Caenorhabditis elegans: one gene and its partner. The protein of the gene in region 2 interacts with the protein of the main gene of each other region in a pairwise test. Each region holds a gene or a part of one and is shown on either strand. Other genes may lie near its edges. The genes, in order: mek-2 and ksr-2.

What was found.
Region 1: the proteins of ksr-2 (region 2) and mek-2 interact in a two-hybrid assay, tested with the Caenorhabditis elegans proteins (one study listed by BioGRID).

What each region holds. Positions count from the first base shown.
Region 1 is NC_003279.8:3,010,200-3,015,487, reverse strand, and holds the start of mek-2 (Dual specificity mitogen-activated protein kinase kinase mek-2), read left to right. Parts: upstream 1-2,039; 5' UTR 2,040-2,042; coding exon 2,043-2,129; intron 2,130-2,190; coding exon 2,191-2,370; intron 2,371-2,425; coding exon 2,426-2,644; intron 2,645-3,822; exon of another isoform or gene 3,823-3,880; coding exon of another isoform or gene 3,881-3,999; intron 4,000-4,059; coding exon of another isoform or gene 4,060-4,798; exon of another isoform or gene 4,799-4,804; intron 4,805-4,869; exon of another isoform or gene 4,870-4,995; intron 4,996-5,288. Other genes in the region: col-48 (Nematode cuticle collagen N-terminal domain-containing protein), read right to left, coding at 3,881-3,999, 4,060-4,798. UniProt on the Caenorhabditis elegans protein: Functions in the let-60 Ras signaling pathway; acts downstream of lin-45 raf kinase, but before the sur-1/mpk-1 gene product in controlling vulval cell differentiation. Required for progression of developing oocytes through the pachytene stage.
Region 2 is NC_003279.8:12,056,622-12,061,638, forward strand, and holds the start of ksr-2 (Kinase suppressor of Ras B), read right to left. Parts: upstream 3,178-5,017; 5' UTR 3,162-3,177; coding exon 3,136-3,161; intron 3,087-3,135; coding exon 3,015-3,086; intron 1-3,014. Other genes in the region: hrpr-1 (RRM domain-containing protein), read right to left, coding at 4,217-4,331, 4,878-5,017. UniProt on the Caenorhabditis elegans protein: Probable inactive protein kinase which positively regulates Ras-mediated signaling probably acting at the level of let-60/ras or/and lin-45/raf. In the germline, regulates meiotic progression during oogenesis and mpk-1 (isoform b) phosphorylation.

The DNA of each region.
Region 1 (5,288 bases), 9.0 Mb from region 2:
GAATGACGGAGGCGCGTGTTGTTTAGCGCGTCCCGTTTTTGCGCTTTTTCTCTCGTTTTCATCGAATTTGCAATGATTTTTTCAGTTTTTGGCCTTTTTTCGTGTTTTTTTCGGTGTTTTTCGTGAAATGCACGTCTTAAAACGTCTAATAAGCTTATATTTCCAAGAAATATCGATTTAAATCGGAAAAAAGACTACTGATGCGTCTTGGAATTGTTTGCTCTTTATCTCTTCTCATCTCTGTTTTTTCGACAAAAAAGCTGAAATAAATCGAATAAATCAGGCAGTATTGTTCTGAAATGAAAAATTTGCAGAAAAATGGTATTTTTCCATTTTTTTCATCAAAAGAAGCACCAATCGTGGAGAAAGTCCCTTCTTCTACGTAGAAATCCCCGTTTTCTATATAATTCCTCTCATCGAGACTTATATTATCCGATTAGCAGGTCAAAAATCCCCGTTTTTGGCACGGATCCACTGAAATCTCAATAAAAATCACATTTTCTCGAAGAAAAAAGCAACAAAAGAGCCGTCATCCCCCTCTCAAATTTCCTCTCCTCCTCAATTTCGATTAAATTTTTAATTATTTAGGCGCTTTTTCTGCTCTCTTTTTTCTTGCTCCAGCAGCGGCTCCCCGCATCTCTCATCGCCTTCTTCTCTTTTCTTCTCGCTTGACCGAGCTCTCGCAGTCCGGAAAAGCAGTCAATAAGCTAGAGAGCCGTGCTTTTTTTTCACCTGTTCTCAAAAATCGCCACTTCACGACAGGTTATATTCATCAATCAATTCATCACGTTTTTGCCTCGATTTCAGAGAAAACTAGTTGTTTCGGAAGAAATTAATCGCGAAATTTTTTTTATTTTCCCTTTTTTCAGACGGCTAAAATCACGTGGAAATTTATAATTGTATAGGTTTTCACTCAAATTGGCTCGAAATAGCTCGAAAAAATTCCAAAATGTGTATGGCGAATCAAAATTCGAAAAAAAAAAACCAAAATTTGCTAAAATCAGCGGCTAAAAATCCAGTTTTCATTGAATTATCTTCATTTTTTTAGAATTTTTGGCTTTTTGCCACCCAAAAATGGTCTCAAGCATTGAAAAAACACTGCGACAAGGAAAAGTTGACAAAATGTAGGATTTTAGCAATTTTTGCTTCAAAAACACGCCAAAAAACAGTTTTGGAATTTTTTAAAAATATGTAATTTTAGGTCATTCTGAGTATATTTAAGTGAAAACCCTCTTTAAAGGTGAAGTACCGAAATTCGAATCTTTGCTTTTTTAGACCCAAATTGGTCCAAAACTACCGAATTTCGTAATGAAACGTTTCGAAAATTTCTCAAAAAAAAGTTATGGCGGTTCAAAGTTCGGCAAATTAAGGCCCACAAAATTAAGGCCCAACGTCTGGAACCCAATTTTTATTTATTTATCACTTTTTAATAAATATTGCGGTCTTTTATTAGGCTTTTATTCGTTGTTTTAAGTACATTTATGGTCAGTGGGCACAAAATGTAACTTTTATTTGTGCCCCAAAGGCCAGAAATATGCTTAAAACAACGAATAAACGCCCAATCAAAGACCACAATATTTATTAAAAAGTGATGAATAAATAAAAATTAGGTTCCAGACGTTGCGACACCGAGAAGTTGGAAAAAATTTTGATTTTAGCTGAAAGTTGGCCTTATTTTGCCGAACTTTGGACCGTCATAACTTTTTTTTGAGAAATTTTCAGAATGTTTCATTACGAAATTCGGTAGTTTTGGACCAACTTGCGTCTAAAAAAACAAAGTCTCAAATTTCGGTACTCCACCTTTGATTTCTGAAAAAAAACTCTGCTTTCAGTTAAAATTACCAAAGAAACTAAATATTTTTAATATTTCCTGACTAATTTTTAGAAAATTAAATAGTTCTGAGTATTTTCTGAATTAGACTCCAAAAATCGCTAAATTTTCCCATTTTCCCCAGTTTTTCATAAGTTTTCTTGGAATTTTCCTCGTTTTTTTTCTAAAAAAAACCTCTCGATTAAAATAAAATCCAACTATTTTCCAGATAATGTCGAGCGGAAAACGGCGTAATCCGTTGGGACTCAGTCTACCACCGACAGTAAATGAACAAAGTGAAAGTGGCGAGGCGACGGCGGTAATAATTTAAAATTATTTTTAATTTTTAAATATTGAATTTAAAAAATATAAATTTCCAGGAAGAAGCCACCGCGACAGTCCCACTAGAAGAACAGCTGAAAAAGCTCGGGCTCACGGAGCCACAAACTCAACGGCTCAGCGAATTCTTGCAGGTCAAGGAGGGCATCAAGGAGTTGAGTGAGGATATGCTACAGACTGAAGGAGAACTTGGCCATGGAAATGGAGGAGTTGTTAATAAGGTTGGAATTTGCTGAAATAAGCTGGAATTTGGAAATAAAAAGTTCAATTTTTCAGTGTGTTCATCGAAAAACCGGTGTAATTATGGCTCGGAAGCTTGTACACCTCGAGATCAAGCCGTCAGTCCGACAACAGATCGTCAAAGAGCTCGCCGTACTTCACAAGTGCAATAGTCCATTCATTGTTGGATTCTACGGGGCTTTTGTGGACAATAACGATATATCAATTTGTATGGAGTATATGGATGGGCTTTCACTTGATATAGTTTTGAAAAAGGTAATAGTTTATTGGAAAATGTGCGGGTATGTTGGAAAATGATATGGTGGACAGTTCTCGCAGGATTCTCGGATTCGGCTTGTCCTTGTGATCCGCATTGTCGATCTGACCAAGCTTCTACTCGGAGTACCTGGCTCTGCCGATGGTCCGAATGATCCTTGTGATCCTGAAGCTCCGACCTTCTTCCCGGTACCTGGAATTCCGTCTTTCCAGAGGTTCCTGGCGGATCCTGTTCAGAAGATCGAACTCCGGCGTCTCAATTGCTTCCGTCTTGTCCTGGAGATCTGCTCTTTCCCGGATGTCCTGGTGGGCTTGCTGGAGCGTTTCCTTCTGGAAGAAGTTCTCCAGGCTCTCCTGTGGTCCAGAAGCTCACGGGCATTATGGCGGAATCGGGAGAGTTCAATCACGAAGCTCGTCCTGGTGATCCTGGATCACCTGATTCTCCGACTTTTCTATGGTTCCTGGCGGTCCCTGAGCTCGCTGGTGGGCAGTGCTCGCACAATCCTGGTATTCGGCTTGCCCTCCTCCTGGGAGAAGTGCTCCAGGCTCTGCCGATGGTCCGGATGATCCTTGTGATCCTGAAGCTCCGTCCTTCTTCCCAGCACCTGGAAGTCCGTCTTTCCAGAGGTTCCTGGCTGAACATATTCAGAAGATCGTCCAATAAAAAGCTCGTCATTCTGGATTTTTAAACGAAATCTTTGGCTCACCCTGCTCTCCAGCAACTCCGTACGTGGTGTCTGTCCGCTGTCCCATTACGGTTTGACCTACAAAAAATGCGGCAATTTTTTCCCCAAAAAATGTGACGTCAGCTGAAAATTCTTCGTCTCGACTCCCGCATTTTTTGTAGATCTCGGTAGATCAAACCAAAACGGGGCAGCCTGGCACCACGTGCTCCGACGTCTCAACTTCTTCCGTCTTGTCCTGGAGATCTGCCCTTTCCAGGATGCCGTGAGCCTCCTGTCCGTCTTGATGGCCTAGTTGGGTTTGCTGGAGTGTCTCCTTCTGGAAGAAGCACTCCAGGCTCTCCTGTGCTCCCCCAATACCTCCAACAGAAGCTCACGGTGCTCTCCTGGTTCTTGACCTAGTTCTCTTTCCAGAGGTTCCTGGCGATACCTGAGCTCACCGTGCTTCACAAGCCTCTTCACCCTTTTTTTTATTAAATGGACAACTACGACATATCGATTGAAAAAATAATATAGTTTATTCGAAAATGTACAGACAGACTCGCATAAGCTTCTAATATCCTGGAGCAAGACGTGCTGGTGGGCAGTGCTCGCACGATCCTGGAGATCCGGCGTCTCCTGGCGATCCTGGAGTTCCGGCTTGTCCTGGTGGTCCTGGTGGTCCGCGTTGTCCTGAAACAAATTTAACGTTTAGAAGAAGAAGAAGAAGCCTAGCTTATCATGATAATTTACCTGGCTCTCCAGCAACTCCGGCGTCTCCGTTGCTTCCGTCTTGTCCTGGAGATCCGGCCTTTCCTGGCTGTCCTGGTGCTCCTGGCCGTCCTGGTGGTCCGGATGGGCCTGGTGGAGCGTCTCCTCCTGGAAGAAGTGCTCCAGGCTCTCCTGGTGGTCCGCGTTGTCCAGGCTGTCCTGGTTGCCCAGGTGGTCCCGGTGGTCCGGATGGTCCTTGTGGTCCTGGAGCTCCATCCTCTCCGTTTCTTCCCGGGTTACCTGGAATTCCATCTTGTCCTGGTGGTCCTGGTGGTCCTCCAAGTCCTGGAGCAGCAGTGCATGGGCATTGTGGTGGAACCGGGAGAATTCGATCATGAAGCTCGGCATCAGGTCCTGGTGGTCCTGGCTCTCCTGGTCCTTGACCTGGTTCTCCGTCTTTTCCAGGAGTTCCTGGCTCTCCATCTGGTCCTGGTGGTCCCTGTTGGCATGTGCAGCATTGAGCATCAGCTTGACGTGTAGCTCTGAGCAGAACATCAAGTGGATCATCAGCACCTTCCGGTGCAACCTCGACCATCTCACGCCACATATCCCGAGATCGGGACTTGCAGTACTCAACCTCTCCTTGTACGGAAGCTTGAAGGGTCTGCACATAGTGGAATACCAATGGGAAAGCGATAAGCACAGCAGTCACTGCGACTGTGGAGAATGTGACGGCGACGAACGCCACACTTCGCAACGATCCCTTGCTCTTCTCGTCCATCTGAAATTCTATGAATTTTCTAGAATATTCGAACAAAGAATCAAAGGTGAAGAAGGGAAATGAAAAATGTCAGAAGTGTCAAAAGAATAAGAAGAAGAAGCCTACACAGTCATTTGCCGTTGCCCCCGAGTGCTTATATGCGGCCGCTGTGGTGGAACGAAACGGCAAGTCGCGCACTTCTGTGTGCGCTGCGTCTCATCGTTGCGCACGCAATTTCCGTGCGCCCCGCGCAGTGAACATCCCTTGCGTTTTTTTTTTCGATTTCCTCATCTTCTCCGCCCGTTGTTGTACATGACTGTTGATTATGATGACACATAAAGTATCAAGGTGTGGAAAAAGTAGGGGAAGGAATCGAAGAGCAGTTCGGCTGGAAGTTTTGGGACTTCGAAAAGCCAATAATCGAGTTTCGGCGCTGTAAATGAGTTTTCTACTCTTTCAGGACAGTTAAATAATGTAGTTTTTAAAAGATTCCGTATAGAAAGTCTAGGGC
Region 2 (5,017 bases):
AGATCAAAATCGGATTTCGGATTTGTGTGTGTGTCTCGGAATTTATTCAGGCCTAATTTTATGAGAAAAAATAAAGCGGGGCGCTTAAAAGTGCAGATTTGTCAAATTTTCGAGGAATTGAGCTCAAGTGGACAATTTGCCGAAATTAGGCAAATCGGCAAACCGGCAAGTTGCCGTAATTGAGAATTTCCGGCAAATCGAAAAACCGGCAAATTGCCGGAGTTGACAATTTCCGGCTAATTGGCAAACCGACGAACTGCCGTAACTGCAAATTTCCGGCAAATCGGCAATTCGCCGTAACTGAAAATTTCGGGCAAATCGGCAAACCGGAAAATTGCAGTAACTGAAAATTTCCGGCAAATCGGCAAATTGCCGTAATTGAAAATTTCCGGCAAACCGGCAAGATGCCGTAATTGAGAAATTCCGGCAAATCGGCAAACTGGAAAACTGCCGTAATTGTAAATTTCCGGCAAATCGGCAATTTGCCGTAATTAAAAATTTCCGGCAAATCGGCAATTTGCTTTCAGAAACCACCACAAAATCTTTACTGAAACTCATCCAATTGTCCCCATAATGCTAAATATGTACGTGCCCCCTGCTGTGAAATCTACCAGATTCGGAATACTAATGACGCTATTTTTGTGTGTTCCTCCCCAGCGGGACATCTATGACTGAAAATAATCGAAAAACTTCAAGTACTACAACACTTGATTCCCGGCGGTTTTCCGTATCCAAGAGCAACAAAACTGAGCTCCGAGAGGGTGAGCAGAGCAGGTGAAGAAGCCGAGCACAAATATTTATAAGAGAAACAAAATAAAAAATTCGACGAGTTGGTGGTGCCAGAGTGTCTCATTTCGGCTTGATCTACGTTGATCTACAAAAAATGCGGGAATTTAGAAGCAGACTTCTCAACTAATTTAGCATGGTTAAGAACGTGCTGACGTCACACTTTTTTGGGCAAAAAATTCCCGCATTTGTAGATCAAACCGTAATGGGACAACCTGGCACTTTCACACTGTGAAACCTCTGCCACGGCCATGTGTCGATTCACGCAGTTCTCTCGTGTACTCCTCGAGAAGTACACGAGCTGCGTAAATCGACATTGAAAGATTTCGGTGAGAAATCTGTTGGATTTTATTCATTTTCCATACAGTTTTATGCGAATTCCACAAATTTTTGGAAAGCTACTGTAGTTTTGGAATTAATGAAAAAAATCTCCAGCAAATCCATTTTCGCGTTGAAAATTGTCTATTTCAAACGAGATGCCGAAGATTCATGTCCCGTAAGGATTACGGTAGGTTTGCCAAAATCCGTACATGGTGTCAGGCTATCCCAATACAGCTTGATCTACAAAAATGCGGGAATTTTTTCGCAGAACAAATGTGACGTCAGCACACTCTTAACCATGCAAAAACAGTTGAGAGGTCTGCGTCTCACCTCCCGCATTTTTCGAAGATCAAAGCGAAATCGGGTGAATCCGTCAAACGGAGCGGCTCTGGACCGTCTCAATTTGCTGAGTGTGGCCGAATTTTCTCTTCGTCACGGCCACCAGAGGACTTTCAGGACAACTTCTAAGAGCTCTAAGCCAAGTTAAAACCTACTTTTCATATCTTCCCCGCCTTCGATTCACAATCGCGTACCACAATCGTCTCCAAAGGGTACTAATGAGCAAATAGCATGAGCAGCACATTTAAGCACATGCAATTTGATGTTCTTGAATGAAGCGAACCTATGCTTGTTGTGCTGTGTAGCTGACTGAGCCTTAGAGCACAAAAATGTGTGCGTGTGTCTGCTGCTCTCGTCGTTTTCAGCAAAAAAGGCGTGCTCAGCTAGCTAGGCTCAAAATGGGTGGGCTCCGGGAGCCTTCAACCATTTGATGAAATGAGCGAGGAAAAATTGAGACCCCGAGTGTAGATGTGAACGGCGAAGGAGGCAAAATTTAATCGAACACTCTATTTTTTCCTTTTTCTTTTTCGTCTTCCAAGGCGAACGGAGCCATTGAATATTCCAAAATGGCTCTAGGAGCTCATGTGAGCCAGCACAAAGTCGTAAATTAACCTCGAGAAGCTTGAAAATGGACATTTTCCAGAAAACTAGCGGGAAAGCAGAACTGTGATTGCATTTTCCAGAAAAGACAAATCTCGTGAGATTCTTTATTCTTGAAAATTAGAAAATTAAACCGATCTCACAGATTTCTATGCTTCCCTCATAAATTGAAATGGAAGAGTTTTGGCCGAACTAGGCCATGTTGGCTCGGTAGATTTACGGCGCGTTGCGGCTCGATTCTAGTTGTAAAACTAAATGTATTTGTCAGTGAGGAGTACACGACACTTTCCCACGCGTTGTCCGGCAGACAGGATTGTCAATGGAGCGCGAAAAATTCAATGAGGAAGGCCAGAACCCCGGCTGGCTGAAAACTACGGAACAACGAAATTCTCCAAAATATGAGAAAAAGCCAACTCGACGGCCGGAAAACCTCTGTGTAGATTTACGCAGCTTTTGTGTACTCCTCGAGGAAAACTCGCTCGAAAATCCATAAATCTTTTTGCCTGTTGTGCATATTATTTTCACGACTGAAAATCGTAATAAATTAAAATTAAATCGGCCGCTGAGCAGCAGTAAAAAACGTAAAACTCGTTGGGAAAAAAATGCGGAAAAGCCGGGGAAAAATTGGAGAGAAGAACTGATGAAGTGGAACGACGACAGCTATACGAGGAAAAGGCGATAATTGCTTTTTTTGGGGGGTTTTTCGGATGAAATTTGCGATTTTTAGAGCAAAAACCAAGTTTTGCAAGCTTTTCAGGTTAAAAATTGAGTTTTCTTCATTTTCGCAATTGTTTTATTCAAAAATCGCGGAATTTTCGAATTTTTTTTCGCGAAAAAAGCACATTTTCCACGGGAAATGTGCCAAAAAACGCGGCGAAAACGCGAAAATTGACAATTTTTTTGGGGAAAAGGCCATTTTCACATCGAAAACTCTCGAATTTTCAGCCAAAAAAAAAACTCTGCCTAACCTTCCACTCGTTGAAGATCTCCGCCACGATGAGAACGATGACGTCGTCAGCACGCTGTATCTGAAAAATCCGCTGAAAATCGGTGTTAAATTGCCTGAAAATGTGTGCCTGCTCGGCCTACCGCTTTTTCTTCTTTTCATCGCTCATCTGACGAAGGTTCTCCCTGCAAAAAAAGATATATTTAAAAATTAAATTTGAAAATCGTGAAATTTAGGTGTTGCGGGGGCGTGGCGACGTTTGCAAACTTGCGGCGCGGTTTTTTTTTGATTTTTCAGCGATTATTTTAGAAAAAATTCACTTTTTTCTGCATTTTTTTGTAAAAAAATTGAAGATTTTGAGTGAAAAAGGCATTTATTTTTTGGTTGAGGCTCGAAAATTTTACATTAATTTTTTTTTTCTGACAAAAACTGGATAAAAGTATTAATTTTTTGTAAAAATCCAAAAATATTTTATATTTTCCAAATCCTGAAAATCCCAAAAAAAACCACGCCGCAGGCTTGCAAACGACGCTCCGCCCTTTTTTCCCTGCCGCATTGCAAAATTCTCCGAGCTTTTTGTAGAAAACTGCGAAAAAAAAGATCTGAAACAGAGAAATCAAATTTGGGCAAACTTCCGAAAGAAAGAGTAAAAATTTTGAACGAAATTTTTTTTTATTTTATTTTAAAATTGTGTGTGCGTCCAATTTTCACAGCAAAAGGTGAAAATTTCGAGACACAGAAAAAAAAAACGGAATAAAACGGTTTCAAATGGAGAGAGAGGGAGAGGGTGAAGGGAATAGAGAAACAGAGAGAGAGAGAGATACGTTAAAAACCATTTTTTGCAAAGCTCAATATCAAAATCTCTATTACAATTAATGAGAAAATACAACTTTTCAGAATGGTTTTTGTCACTTTTTGAGGTCGTGAGAGATTAACGGGTTGGGTTGAGGAGAGAGAGGGAGTGGAAAAATTTTTTAAAAAATTCGAAAAAGAAATGAGGGTAATATGTATATAAATTATAGAATTTCGATTTTTCGCACCACTTTCTAAAGTCGAACGATTTTTGAGATCAAAACCATTCGAAAAACGAAACAAAAAAATTTAGAAAAATAATGCAAAATGCAAAATTTTTGGTTGAAAAAGTTTAAAATTTTTTAAAAAATGGGGGGAGTGAAAAATAATTTAAAAAACAAAGAAAAAGTGAGTTTCTGCCGGGGGTGCAATTTAGAAAGTGCTCATGTTGACGTCAGCCGAGAAATCAGGCTTTCCGTTGTCTCGTTTCGATGCTGGTCCCCCTCGTCCGTCTCCCGGGCGCTTTCCTCGACCGCGTCTGTTTGCCCTGTAACCTCAGACATTTATTAGGATTATTCTTGCACAATTTTATAAAGATATATGGAGAATTCTGCGCCAGTGGGGGGGGGGGGGGGGGGGGGGGAAATTGATTTGAAAAACACAAAAAATTAATTTTGAACTACCCTTGTTCAATAGAGCGCGCTTGTATTTTTTATTTATTTTAATGCATTTTTAGTTTATTTTTCTCATTTTCTACTGATTTTTTATATTTTCAGTGTATTTTTATTGGAAATTTGAAGAAACGTTTGCAAGATTAATGCAAATTTTTCACAATAAGGCAACTTTATGGTTACGTACCCATACAGATGCTCTCTAGTGAAAAATTTGCATTTTTCTTGAAATTTTCTTCAAATTTCCAGTGAAAATTTACAGAAAAATCATTGGAAAATGTGAGAAACGAATTTTTTAAAAATTACAAAAAATGCAAGCGCGCTCTATCGAACAAGGGCAGTTCAAAATTAATTTTTTTGTAATTTTTTAGACAAATTCCGTCCACTGGCGCAGCAGCACTCCACCACACTTCAAAACTTACATTCCACCGCGTCCAGGTGGTCCACCACGGAATCCTCCTCCACCGCCCATTCCTCCTCTCGGCGATCCACGCATTCCTCCTCTAAATCCACCGCCTCCGTAGGCTCCAAAATCTCCATAGGCTCCCGGGCCACCGTATCC